Macaca fascicularis: one gene and its partners. The protein of the gene in region 1 binds, or shares a complex with, the protein of each later gene. Links are inferred from orthologs where the notes say so. Each region holds a gene or a part of one and is shown on either strand. Other genes may lie near its edges.

Region 1 (4,147 bases):
GCTGTTGGCAACGTGGAGGGAATGGGGGCTGGGCTGATGGGGGTCCCCGACGGCTTGGTGGACTGTGGCTTTGGAGTGGCCGGGAGCACGGGCTTTTTGAGTCCCTCTCCTGGCTGGCTGGGCTTGGCAGCATCACTGTTCACAGCATCAACCAGGCTCGTGGCTTTTGTCTTTGCACCCGGGCCTGCCTCCCCAGCCGCCTCCTGGCTCGGGCTCTGCGAGGGCTTTCCTCCAGCCTTCCCTGCAGAGGCTGCTGGTGGGGGCGGCGGGGCAGGTTTGAGCCTGGACAATTTCCCCTTGTCCCTTCCTGGCGACTCAGAGGAGTGCTTGTGCCTCCTTATTCTGGACTCCTCGGCGGGGCCCTTGCTGGTGCCTCCTGGTGCACCTGAGCCTGCTTTGCTGGTGGGGGTCACTGGCTCAGCTGCAGCAGGGGTCCCTAAGGCACTGCCCTTTCCAGCTTCTTCCTTGTGGGGGAGGCCTGAGGCAGGGGCCATCATGACCTGCCGCCGGAGGGGTTTTGGAGTCAGGTTGGGCGGGCTGGAGCCCGGGCTGGACTCCATGATGTCTTTGAAGACCTCATCAGCAGCTTCCTCGTTCTTTTTCACCAGCCTGGGCGGGGGCGTTACTGTGCCTCGGGCCACCTGGTCAGACCTGTTCTCCCCTGCCCTCTTCCGAGGCAGAGCCGGCTTCTCACTTTTGTGCCCTCCAAATGTGGACGAGTCAAACTGTCTTCCCGTAGACTGCAAGTCCCGAGGCAGCGTGACCGACCTCCACTCTGTGTCCTTGGCCCCGTGGGGAACGCAGGAGGCCGAGCAGGAGCGCAGGAAGCGCTTGCTGGAGCTGCCACCACCCTCCTCCTCGCCAGTGGCCAGGCGGCTGCTGGTCAGTGTGCTGGACTTCTTCCACAGGTGGGGAGACCGAAAGCCTGAGCCCCCAGACTCCCGGAGGGCTCCATTGGGGACCCCAGCCCCATTGCTGGGCTTTGGGGACTTGGCTGGGTCAGCTGTGTCCAAAGGGGTGAGAGCCAGCGCCCCATTGCTGATGTCTCGGCCCTCTTCCTCGCCGGCCCCTCTGCGCTCCGGCTGGCCGTCCATCTCCCGGAAGGAGCTGCTGCGTTTGGGAGGGGTTGGGGCTGTCTTCTTCTTCTTCTTGATCAAGGCGCTGAACAAGTTGGTCTTTTTGTCTTTGGGGAGAAGGCGTTCATCCTCATTCAGGCCGCCCTCCAGGGGACCTCGCTCTTTTCGAGGGAGCAATGGAGACACGGCAGGCTCATGGTCCAGAGGATCTGAAACGCAAGGGGAAGAGCTGACAACTCCAGACAACTCCAGAGGCTAAGGCAGGAGAATCGCTTGAACCATAGAGGCAGAGGTTGCAGTGAGCTGAGATCTCGCCACTGCACTCCAGCCAAAACAAACAAACAAAAAAATTGTCGAAGGTGAACCCTTCTTATCTCCTATGCATAATGGCCCATTGTCCCTTCCCCACAGTGGGACATAGCCCCTTATTCCCAGAACTCCTTGTAGGCCTGTCAGCTAGCTGGCTGGCAGGAAAGCCACAAGTTTTGACCCTTTGCTTGGCCTTGTCATCGTTTTTACTCACCAGAGTGATGTGGGTGGGTTGGGGGACTGCTGCCTTAAAGTAAACCACTGCAGGGATGAAAAGGCCAGGGCCATCCAGCTTTTTGTTCCCATCTTCAGGGAAAGAGACCAAAGCTTTTCTTTTGAGTTGGAGTCTCGCTCATTGCCTAGGCTGGAGTGAAGTGGCGCAATCTCAGCTCACTGCAACCTCCGCCTCCCAGGTTCAAACGGTTCTCCTGCCTCAGCCTCCCAAGTAGCTGGGATTACAGGCACGCGCTACCACGCGTGGCTAATTTTGTATCTTTAGAAGAGACAGGTTTCACCATGGTGGTCAGGCTGGTCTCAAACTCCTGACCTCAGGTGATCAACCCGCCTTGGCCTCCCAAAGTGCTAGGATTACAGGCATGAGCCACTGCACCTGGCTCAAAGCCTTTCCTAACAACAATCCTAACAGCAATGACGGCTTTATTGAGAGGAACGTGACACGTGCTTCACCTTTACAACGTCATCTGCTGTGCATTCTCACAACAGCGCTGTAGCACGGTTACAAGTGAGAAAGCTGAGGACAGACGGAGAGAAGGGACTACTTGCCTGGCCTCATGGATGGTGGGCATCAGAGCCGGTTATCAGATCCAGGCCTGTCTGAGCCCAGATGCTTGGGTGCTCCTCTGGGAGCATGGGGTGGGGGCAGCCCCCAGCTTGTGCCAAGGGAGCCTGACCTCATGATTCGCCCACTTTGGCCTCCTAAAGTGCTGGGATGACAGGTGTGAGCCACCACACCTGGCCAACAGTTTTTTAATGGGCACTTTTAAAATATGAATCATAGCTTATAAGAAATCTTTTTGGTAGCCAGGAGCGGTGGCTCACATCTGTCATCCCAGCACTTTGGAAGGCCAAGGCGGGTGGATCACGAGGTCAAGAGATCGAGACCATCCTGGCCAACATGGTGAAACCCAATCTCTACTAAAAAATGCAAAAATTAGCTGGGCATGGTGGCACACGCCTATAGTCCCACCTACTCAGAAGGATGAGGCAGGAGAATTGCTTGAACCTGGGAGGCGGAGGTTGCAGTGAGCCGGGATCACGCCACTGCACTCCAGCCTGGCAACAGAGTGAGACTCCTTCTCAAAAAAAAAAAAAATCTTTTTGGTGTTGCCAAGCTCCTGCTAGTGAATAACAGAATTTTCCCTCAGAGGTCAGCTTGCAAGAAGAGGTTTTCTGTTGGCACCTGTAACTCAGAACAGAGGTACCAGTGTGCATTTATCAGAACCCAAGGCAGCACGCGGGACATCTGAATCAGGGAACGCCAAAGCCCTCTCAGAACTTTAATCTAGTAGAAGGAGGCCAGGAGAGTGAAATTGTAATAAATTATGCACCACTCGATTTCAGCACTGAGCAGTTAATTGACACCCTCGGCTCACCAAGAGATCACTATCAAAATACCCCTCAGATGAGACTGACGGGCATAAATGAACATGACTGCTGATCACACAGCGTTCCCACAGAGGCCTCCCCCCACTGCTCAGCCACCTGAAATCAGGAAAACCAACAGGAGGAGGGAGGGTGGAAGCTTCTGGACAGTCTATATGCCATAACCTCCAAGGGGGTGAGCGAGATGACCCAGCAGGGGTGAAGCATTGTTAATTTGGACTTATTTAGCATGCAAGCCTTTGAAATGTGCGTTTTGGTACATAACATACACACTATACTCCTACGGTAGTAGACGTATGTACTTTATATACCATATATATGGGCTGCATGTTCATTTTTTTTTTTTTAACTAATATGAGTATGTGATAAAGAAAACTCAGGTTTATAGATTCTGCTGTCAGTAAACATCCCACCATAAATCTCCATGAAGTGGGGATTTGTCCGGTCCCTTCACATGTACCCAGTCTGTGGTCCATTAGAATGGAGTCCACTATTGCCATCCCCAGGATCCTCTACGAACCCAGATGCTTGGCCTAGCCCCCACCTCCAATATGGTTTAGCTGAGTCCCCACCCAAATCTCACCTTGAATGGTAATAACCCCCACGTGTCAAGGGCGGGGTCAGGTGGAGATAAATGAATCATGGGGCAGTTTCTCCCACATTCTCGTGGTAGTGAATAAGTCTCACAAGATCTGATGGTTTTATAAAGCGGACTTCCCCTGCACAAGATCTCTTGCCTGCCACCAAATAAGACATGACTTTGCTCCTCATTCGCCTTCAGCCATGATTGTGAAGCCTCCCTAGTCATGTAGAACTGTGAGTTGGTGAAACTTCTTTCCTTAATAAATTACGCAGTCTTGGGTATGTCTTTATTAGCAGCATGAAAACAAACGAATATACCCTTCAATGCTTTTGTTCAGCTGGTCTGCAGCAGAACCTGGACTGCTGGTTCTGGGGGCCAACCACGAACACAGAACAGAGCCTGGCCTGTAGGCACACTACATAAATGTTGGCAAATATTATTATTGCTAGTGTTTTGAGACCCTCCTGAGCTGATCCCAACTCCCTCGCTTGCCTAGGCAACGGCACCAGAAACATGTTCTTCCCAGAGACCACCAGGACACGGGCTCTGTCCACGG
Region 2 (5,027 bases), on another chromosome or scaffold:
CTGTTTTGAAAAGGTGGTGCTCCATTATCCAAGTAAGGCTTGAGATATAAAAATCGTTATGCTAAGATGTGAAAAAATATCAAGCTAACAAACCTGCCGGCTGCCATTTTCAACTCTGGCAACCAACAAACACAAACAAAAGGCTGAAAAGTGAGTTTCAGTAAGTTTGCCATCATGTTACTACATATAATGCAAAACCCCAGATACCACGCAGGTGGCATCAAAGTAGCATATATCTGGTTCAGGGCCAACACAGGTACATCAATATTCCCATCTCATAACACCATTAAACTGGCCAGAATGAGAAAGATCTACAATAATTTGTGAACTTATAGACCCCATACTCATTTTCTAAAAATAGTTATGTGTTGGGCTGGGTGTGGTGGCTCACACCTGTAATCCCAGCACTTTGGGAGGCTGAGGCGGGCGGATCACCTGAGGTCAGGAGTTCGAGACCAGCCTGGTCAACATGGTGAAACCCCATCTCTACTAAAAATACAAAAACTAGCCAGGCATGGTGGCGTGTGCCTGTAATCCCAGCTACTAGGGAGGCTGAAGCAAGAGAATCCTTTGAACCCACGACGTAGAGATTGCAGTGAGCTGAGATCACACCACTGAACTCCAGCCTGGGCAACAAAAGTGAAACTCCGCCTCAAACAAACAAAGCTGGGTGCGGTGGCTCACACCCGTAATCCCAGCACTTTGAGGGGGCAAAGGCGAGTGGATTACCTGAGGTCAGGAGTTCAAGACCCACCTGGTCAACCTGGTAAAACCCCATCTCTACTAAAAATACAAAAATTAGATGGGCGTGGTGACAGGCACTGGTAATCCCAGCTACTTAGGAGGCTGAGGCAGGAGAATCACTTGAACCCAAAAGGCGGAGGTTGCAGTGAGCCAAGATGGCGCCACTGCACTCCAGCCTGGGTGACAGAGAGAGACTCTGTCTCAAAATAAATAAATAATAAATAAATAAATAAAATAAGAAAAAAATTGGTTATGTGTTGGCCAGGCACGGTGGCTCATACCTGTAATCCCAGCATTTTGGGAGGGTGGATCACCTGAGGTCAGGAGTTTGAGACCAGCCTGGCCAATCTGGTGAAATCTTGTCTCTACTAGAAATACAACATTAGCTGGTTGTGGTGGTGGGTGCCTGTAATCCCAGCTACTCGGGAGACTGAGGCAGGAGAATCTTGAACCCGGGAGCCCCGGGGAGGTGGAGGTGGCCATGAGCCGAGATCGTGCTACTGCGCTCCAGCATGGGCGACAGAGCGAGACTCCGTCTCAGGAAAAAGTAAAATAAAAATTGGTATGTGTTAATAACAAAGAGACTGGCTATTCAATTCTCCATTTCTGGCCGGAACAAGTAAATCTAAATTAGAACGATCCTACAAGAGAAAGTCTAGAGAGGATGGCTCAGGAGCTTCCTGATTCATAGGAGACTAGTCTGAACCCAGTCTCAGCGGCCAAGAAGAAACAGCTTCGACTTGGCAACAGTGTGAAGGCACGAGGACTCCTGATGCTGTTAAACAGGTACACATACAATGAGAACCCCAGAATTACTTCGTACCTCACAAATCTCCAGTACTAAGGGCATCTATCTATTCCCTTGAAACACTCCCAAATCAACTCCAACGGCATCGGAAAGACAGTCAATCTCAGGGATCCCTGGCAAGAAAAACCCAGCGCAGGTAATTTATGTTCTTGGCGTAGAGTCTGTTCCCAGCATCCAGGAAGACTCAGCCCGCAGCCCCATCTTACTGAGCAAGGTCACGCCCTGAAGTACACACTGACAATGTTTAAGTCCAAGGAAAATGAAGCTCCAGTCACATCCAGGGAAGGGTCTGTTTCCACTGCCTCATTTCTGGTTTATTCTCTGGAATAAAATGTCTTTCCTCCACTAAACACTTTGAAAACCAGAACCCTCTACCGGCGGACAGTCTTCTGGACGCTTAGATGTCCTGCACGCAGCCAGGCATCGCCTTAAACTGGGTTGGGCTGGTCACTGAAGGCTTTCTTCTATCACTTAATTCACCACCTTCGTCCTCCACGGGGGAAGAGGACGGTACAAGGATTTTGGAAAAATGCCCAAGAAAGGAAAAAACTAACCGGTTTCCTGAGGGTGTCTCCATCCCTCCCGGCCAGTTTGTGGTGACTTCCTACCAAAGGCCACCAGGGGAGCACGGCCAAACCCGGCTCTCCAACACGGCAGGAAACGCTTCCAGCCCAAAAGCCACTTGTAGGATTATCGGATTCATTCTGGGCGCCGCTGCCAAGTGATGCCCCCGCAGTGCCAACATCTCCCTCAGCTCTTTGTCCCCACGTTGCCTTGCCCTGCCCTACCCTTGCGCCTGGCCCGGGAGCCAGCCCCACCCTGGGGCCGAAGCAGTTCCCCTTCCCCGGGGCTGCCCTTCCCAGGCACACCCCGGGGCCTCGGTCCGCGGCTCCTCCTCCCCCACACTCCTGTTCCCCGGGTGGGAATGAGCCCCAGCAGCCGGCGGGCCCCTGCCACGGTCACCCAGCCCTCTGCCCACGACCCCGAGGGTCCGCTCTCAAGGAGCAGCCAGCCGGGCTGGGAGCTCCGCGGCCCTCACCCCGCCCAGGGCCCCCCGTCCCGTCAGTCCCTCACCCGGCGGAGGTTGGGCGGGCGACGGCGGCACTGGCGGGCGCGGGCCGCTGCTGTTGATGATGTAGTGGGAGACGCGCGAGTTCTCTGAGACGCTGAGCACATAGTCCCCGGGGCTGGTGCTCGAGTCCCGCACCAGGAACACCCCGTGCCGCTGGCCCTGCAGCAGCGCCACCGCCTCCTGCCGACTCAACCGCCCCCAGTACCAGCTACTCCGCTCCTCCGAGTCGAAGTTGCCCGCCATGGCTGCCTCCGCGCCTAAACGCTGGGGTGCCGCCGCCGCGCGCGCCCCTCCGGCCCCCGGCGCCCGCCGCCCAGCGGACCGGCTCCGGTTTCAGCTTCACAGCAGCGCCCGAAATGGCGGCGGCAGCCGCGGGCCTTCCCCACCGGAAATGACGCGCTCCCTGCCCGAGGGAGGCTGCCGGGAAGGGGCCCGCGGCCCGCCATTGGGAGAAGGGCAAGGCGCCCTCGCGCGCGCACTGCGCATGCGGCCTCATGGGCGGTGCCGCCCTGCCCGGCCCGGGGATGAGGGGGATGGGAGGCGGGGTCTAGGGCCCGGGGGCGGGGCCTCGCGGCCTCCCGCAGAGACGTGCGCCTGCGCCGCCGACCGCGCGGTGCTGCTTCAGGCTCGCGTTCCCGGACTGCCCGGGACTTCTAGGCGGCGGCTCCCAGACAGGATTGCAGGAGAAAAGACGCGTGTGGCCCTGGGGCCTCAGTTCTCGGCCAGGCTTCCTGGGATATCAGTCTGTTTCTCTTTTCTTTTTCTTATTTTGTTTTTTCAGACGGTGTCTCTGTCGCCCAGACTGGAGTGCAGTGCCGCGATCTCGGCTCACCGCAACCTCCGCCTCCCGCGTTCAAGCGATTCTCCTGCCTCCGCCTCCCAAGTAGCTGGGATTACAGGCGAGCGCCACCACGCCTGGCTAATTTTTGTATTTTTAGTAGAGACGGGGGTTTCACCATGTTGGCCAGGCTGGTCTCGAACTCCTGACCTCGGGTGATCCACCCGCTTCGGTCTCCCAAAGTGCTGGGATTACAGGCGAGAAACATCGCTCCCGGCCATGTCGGTCTGTTTCTTCTCGTTCCTCTAGCTTCTCCACAGGCCGGCTGACGTTCTCATTTTCATTGATTCATTCAGGACATTGTTATGGACACTCCACCTGCACTGCGGGTGCAAAGGTGATGGATGCTGGGCCCTGCACTCCTCAAACTCACACACCAGTGAGAGGAACCAGGAAACTGCATGACAAAAGGATGACAAATGCTGACAAGCGCTATCATGGGAAACGGACATGAACACAGAGCAGAGCCCCCCTCCATCCAGTCTGCGGAGTAATCCAAGAGGGCTTCCCAGAGGAGGTAGCATGTGTTGACTGCTGAATGACAAAAGGGGAAGGACATTCAAAGCAAAGGGAGCAGAGTGTGCCAAGCCACGTGAAGTACAGAGTTCTCCTCTCTTTTGAGGCTTTGGGGTCACCTGCCCAGATACTTCTAAACACTAAATTGTAGCCAGGGGCATCTCCTACTTTCACTGCCGTCATGGTCACTCTGGACTGTGTTCCTATGAGTGGCTTGCTCGCTGGTGCCCTTTCGTCTGGTTGCCTCTAATTGCACTGCAAACAGCTCCCACTGAGTTTTCTAAAATACAGATCTGGCTGGGCACGGTGGCTCACGCCTGTAATCCCAACACTTTGGGAGGCTGAGGCAGGCGGATCACCTGAGGTCAGGAGTTCTAGACCAGGCTGACCAATATGGTGAAACCGCGTCTCTACTAATACAAAAATTAGCTGGGCGTGATAGTGGCTGCCTGTAATCCCAGCTACTCAGGAAGATGAGGCAGGAGAATCGCTTGAACCCGGGAGACAGAGGTTGCAGTGAGCTGAGATCCCACCATTACACTCCAGCCTGGGCGACAGAGGGAGATCCTGTCTCAAAAAAGTATATATGTATACAAATCTGAATGTGTTGCTACCTTGTGTAAAACGTTTAACAGTCTTCAGGTGTTCAAACTCCCAGGTTAGCTCAGAGCATAAAATTGAGCCATAGTCTCTCTTTTTTTTTTCAGATGGATTCTTGCTCTGACGCCCAGGCTGGAGTGCAGTGGTGCGATCACAGCTCACTGCAACCGCCACCTCCCGGGTTCAAGTGATTCTCCCTGCCTTAGCCTCCCAAGTAGCTGGGACTACAGGCGCCTGCCACCATGCCCAGCTAATAATGTTCGTATTTTTGGTCGAGACGAGGTTTCACCGTGTTAGCCAGGATGGTCTCCATCTCCCGACCTCGTGATCCGCCCACATCGGCCTCCCAGAGTGCTGGGATTACAGGCGAGAGCCACTGTGCCTGGCCTGGAATGCTCTTCTACCCACTTTGGAGTCTCAAATTCAAATGTCTTCCCTTTCTTTATGTT
Region 3 (4,267 bases), on another chromosome or scaffold:
AGGGGTTCGAGACCAGCCTGGACAACATGGTAAAACCCCATCTCTACTAAAATAAAAAAAATTAGCTGGGCATGGTGGTGGGCATCTGTAATCCCAGCTACTTGGGAGACTGAGACACAAGAATTGCTTGAACCTGGGAGGTAGAGGCTGCAGTGAGCCAGGAGCATACCACTGCACTACAGCCTGGGTGACAGCGAGATCCTGTCTCAAAAAAAAAAAAAAAAAAAAAAGGGCCAGGCACAGTGGCTTATGCCTGTAACCCCAGCACTCTGGGAGGCCGAGGCAGGTGGATCACCTGAGGTTAGGAGTTCAAGACCAGCCTGGCCAACATACTCTCATCTCCATTAAAAAATACAAAAATTAGCTGGGCGTGTTGGCGCACGCCTGCAGTCCCAGCTACTTGTGAAGTTGAGGCAGGAGAATCACTTGAACCCAGGAGGTGGAGGCTGCAGTGAGCCGAGATCGCGCCACTGCACTCCAGCCTGGGTAACAGAGCAAGACCCCGTAACTCAAAAAAAAAAAAAAAAAGAAGTGTAAGGGAGAAAGGAGGCCCCAGCAGGATTGCTGAGTAGCTCAAAACTAATTTGGGGTATCTGCCACCTCCAGGGTCTGTCTGCAGGACAGGGGGGCAATGTATTCACAGCAGATCCAGCCAGTGTGTGGCAGTGGAGCCCCTGGTTTGAGAAGTCACCTTCTCATATGACTCTGGGCATGGTTACCTCTGTACCTCTGTCTCCCTCTTGTGAAATGGAGCGAGGAATGCAAAGGCTTCTAGCACAGCGCCTGGCCCACGCGAGCATCGACACGCGGGAGGTAGTGTGGATGCCGCAGGAGGTGACCATGTCTTCTCCCAGGGAACTGGGCTCGAATGAGGGAATTTCAGGCACCACGACAGGGCAGCATGTGGGGGGTTTGGGACAGAATGAGGGCCCCAGTGCTCCTTCCCCACCTGCCCCAGGGGGCCCCACCTCTTCCTTCGTGCCCTCAGAAAGCAGCATCATGACGCAGGCCTCAATGGGCAGGGCAATCTCCCGGCCCAGCTCATGCAGGTGGGTTGCCAGCGACACCCCATACACCCTGGAGAAGTGGGTGGCTGCCATCGACGGGGAGTGGTCTGCAGGGATGAAACAGATCAGCGGCCCAGGGCCTTTCCACCCAAGCAGTCAGGCAGGGGCACCCCCCTGATGTCCTCAAGGTGGTACCACCTGCCACCGACTATCCAGGCCCACATCTGAAATCATCCATCACATCTCTCGAATCGGCCCGCCTCCACTGCCTCTGTCCTAGTCTAGGCTACTGTTGCCTCCTTCCGCCTCACAGGCCTGGCTCTAGTCCTGCCCCCTTCACTCCACCCTCCACATGGCAGCCAGAGCAGCCTCTCCATCACAGATTAAACCCAGCTCTCGGACCCCAGCCACAGCTTTCTGCTGCCTTTCAGGATGAAGTGGAAGCTTCTCAGTAAGCCCCGAGCAGGGCGGGGTCAGGGGTGTGGTATCGCCGGGCCTACGTCCCCACCTGCTTGGCCATGGTTCTCCCTCAGCTCAGCCAGGGCCGTGTCCAGAGAGCTCAGTGACCTGCGATGGTAATCGGCTTGAATCTCCAGGAGCTGTGGGGGCGAAGGGACACCCTGAGTGGAAGTGAGGGAAGCTGAGCCTTCTCTAGGGTCCTTGAGAGCAGACACCCCCTCCACCATAGCACAGAGCCCCACTGGACCCTGGCTGTGGCATTTAGCCCCGAGCTCTGGATGGATGGGGCCCGGTCTTGGACTCACATGAATGAAATAGTTGGCATAGGAGTCCTCCTTGGTAACAAAGTGGTACAGGTCAGCCAAGTACTCGTCCTTGGGGACAGAGAGGGGAGAGCTTACATTGGGTGAGGCAGGGGGTCTAGAGGGAAAGAGGAGGCTTGGAGGGGTTGGTGACCTGTGCCCCAGGCCACACAACTGCAGGTGGAAGTCCCAGCCAGGCTCCTCTCTTCTGCCAAGGTTGGTGCTTGGGGCCAGCCCATGGGAACTCCCTCAAACTTTTCTGGCTTCTCGTCCCCATCTCTGTGTCCCCATAGCCTTAGCACAGTGCCCTGTTTTGTTTGTTTTTTTGTGCGGTTTTTTTTTTTTTTTTTTTGAGACAGAGTCTTGCACTGTTGCCTGGGCTGGAGTGTAGTGGTGTGATCTCGGCTCACTGCAACCTCCGCCTCCTGGGTTCAAGCAACTCTCCTGCCTCAGCCTCCCGAGTAGCTGGGATTATAGGTGCCCGCCACTACGCCCAGGTAAGTTTTTGTATTTTTAGTAGAGATGGGGTTTCACCATGTTGGCCAGGCTGGTCTTGAACTCCTGACCTCATGATTTGCCTGCCTCCCAAAGTGCTGGGATTACAGGTGTGAGACGCCGCGCCCGGCCCTGCACAGTGCTGTTATCATCCAATCATTCATTCACTCTTCATTCATTCACTTACTCGTTCAGCAAACACACGGAGACTCAGGGAACAGACCAAGTCTTGGCCTCCCCATGTTACGCATGGGGTACAGACAGAAGAGGGTACAAGGGAATGGCGGAGCTCTGCTGCCTCCTAGCCACATGGCCTTAGGCAAGTCATGTCACCCCTCTGAGCTTCAGCTTCCTTGCCTGTGAGATGGGGCCAGGACCCACCCCTGCCACCCCTGTACATCCAGGAGACCCATGTGGCCCTCACCCTGCATTGCTCCACCTTCCTCTTCAGCTCCTCCTCCTCCTCCTTCAGCGTCTCCACCTTGTTGGCCATAGTCGTGTGGCTGTGACTGCCCGGGCCGCCTCCCAGGCCTTGACTGCTGCCTGAATTCTTGGTTGCCTGACTGAGCCTGGGGATGATCCCAAGGGGAGCTGGTCACCTGCCCTGTTGCATGTCCAGAGCCAAGTGTCCCCTCCATACAGCAGACCACATGGTATTCTAGGATTTGGAGCTGCAGATCTGAGAGCTCCACTGGCTGGGGCCTCAGCCCAGGCTGGGCTACGAGTGCGCTGGGTTGCCCCCTGGTGGCGGGTTTGGTGATCACAGCCACCCAGCAGAGCCGAGAACAGGGACAGCCGCAGGACTGTTTATGGCGGTCCTACGCTTTGGGGTGGCCCCAGCACCAGCTGTGACACACACGGGCACACCCTCACAGATACCCTCACCACCTGTGTTTCCAGGGACCAGGCATGCGCAAGTATACACACTGTACTTAGCGGACCCCACAGCATCCTCCTGGTGTGGCCAGGGCCTCAAAGCTCTACGACCACCTCTGTGGGCTGACCCAGATATGAGGCCCCTGAGTGGCCGGGGCTCCCACCTGCTCTTGAGTGTGTTCCAGTCGGACACGAGCTTCTGGAGGCTTTTCTTGTGCTTGAGGATGGCTGGCAGCTCCTCCTGAGGATGGGCATGGGGGGTCAGTGTGCTGGGGGAGGACGGAGCCAGCAACCGGGGAAGGTGGGGACCGGGAGCAGGGCACAGGCTCACCTCACTCAGCCTGCTGAGTGGCTGCAGGACGTCCCTCTCCAGGGTCATCTCAAACTCGGCCAGGATGCGGGCCAGCTGGTTCTGGATGGCACAGCTCATCTCCAGGGCCTTCCTGTGGACACGGCACCCCATGGGCCCAGGCGCCCGCTGCCCTCACCTCCACTGGAAACACCTGGTGGGGCCTCTCCTCCTTCAATTCCGGCCCCTCCTAGATATCCTTCATCTCTGCTAAGGCCGAACACCCTCCCAGGCCTGGCCGCCCTCACTGACTTGAGCACTGTCCCCGGCCTGGTCATTCTTCCGATGTGGATGCCCTCACCACCTGGACCCCTCCCAGCTGAGATCATGTCTTGGTAGCCCCAGGTGAGGGCAGGGCCCCGTCTATGCTCACCCCATGCTGGAATCAGGGTCCAGCTCCTTGAAGCTCTCGGCCATCGTGGTGGACAGAGCCATGAGGGGAAGCTTCTTCTGCAGGGAGGTTGGGGCCGGCAGTGAGTGTCCTTGCCTCCCTCCACCCTGCCTGAGCAGCAGGCCAGCCCCTTGGGGGCAGGTGAGGAGGGAACCCAGGAATGCCACAGTCCCAGATGAGAGTGGAAACAAGATGACAAGGCATGGTGTGGGTGACATTTCCCTGAGACCATGGATGGAGCCCCTCCCCATCTGGAGTGCCCTTTTCCTCTTCCCAGAAGCCACTTGACTGGGCAGGAAGGGATGACCAAGTCCTACTGCAGACTGGGAAACTAAGATGCAGGGAGGGCAGGGAGCTTGCCCCAGGTCACACGGGTGGAGGGAGAATG

Evidence for each region.
Region 2: the proteins of ABL1 (region 1) and CRK are in contact, whole or in part, in an NMR structure (PDB 1JU5), measured with the Homo sapiens proteins. The link is inferred for Macaca fascicularis from reciprocal best matches to the Homo sapiens genes ABL1 and CRK. Residues at the interface, in NP_005148.2 of Homo sapiens: Tyr70, Phe72, Asp77, Asn78, Thr79, Asn94, His95, Asn96, Gly97, Glu98, Trp99, Trp110, Pro112, Ser113, Asn114, Tyr115; in NP_058431.2 of Homo sapiens: Pro44, Asp46, Asn63, Gly66, Pro67, Arg68, Pro69, Pro70, Val71, Pro72, Pro73, Ser74, Pro75, Pro80, Gly81, Ser83, Pro84, Ser85.
Region 3: the proteins of ABL1 (region 1) and SH3BP1 are in contact, whole or in part, in a crystal structure (PDB 1ABO), measured with the Mus musculus proteins. The link is inferred for Macaca fascicularis from reciprocal best matches to the Homo sapiens genes ABL1 and SH3BP1. Residues at the interface, in NP_033724.2 of Mus musculus: Tyr70, Phe72, Ser75, Gly76, Asp77, Thr79, Asn94, Glu98, Trp99, Trp110, Pro112, Asn114, Tyr115; in NP_001303613.1 of Mus musculus: Ala607, Pro608, Thr609, Met610, Pro611, Pro612, Pro613, Leu614, Pro615, Pro616.

What each region holds. Positions count from the first base shown.
Region 1 is NC_088389.1:12,988,373-12,992,519, forward strand, and holds part of ABL1 (tyrosine-protein kinase ABL1), read right to left. Parts: intron 1,286-4,147; coding exon 1-1,285. UniProt on the Homo sapiens protein: Non-receptor tyrosine-protein kinase that plays a role in many key processes linked to cell growth and survival such as cytoskeleton remodeling in response to extracellular stimuli, cell motility and adhesion, receptor endocytosis, autophagy, DNA damage response and apoptosis.
Region 2 is NC_088390.1:1,562,449-1,567,475, forward strand, and holds the start of CRK (adapter molecule crk), read right to left. Parts: upstream 3,012-5,027; 5' UTR 2,868-3,011; coding exon 2,627-2,867; intron 1-2,626. UniProt on the Homo sapiens protein: Involved in cell branching and adhesion mediated by BCAR1-CRK-RAPGEF1 signaling and activation of RAP1.
Region 3 is NC_088384.1:13,996,343-14,000,609, forward strand, and holds part of SH3BP1 (SH3 domain-binding protein 1), read right to left. Parts: intron 3,939-4,267; coding exon 3,862-3,938; intron 3,583-3,861; coding exon 3,471-3,582; intron 3,381-3,470; coding exon 3,304-3,380; intron 2,833-3,303; coding exon 2,688-2,832; intron 1,841-2,687; coding exon 1,772-1,840; intron 1,607-1,771; coding exon 1,516-1,606; intron 1,115-1,515; coding exon 969-1,114; intron 1-968. UniProt on the Homo sapiens protein: GTPase activating protein (GAP) which specifically converts GTP-bound Rho-type GTPases including RAC1 and CDC42 in their inactive GDP-bound form.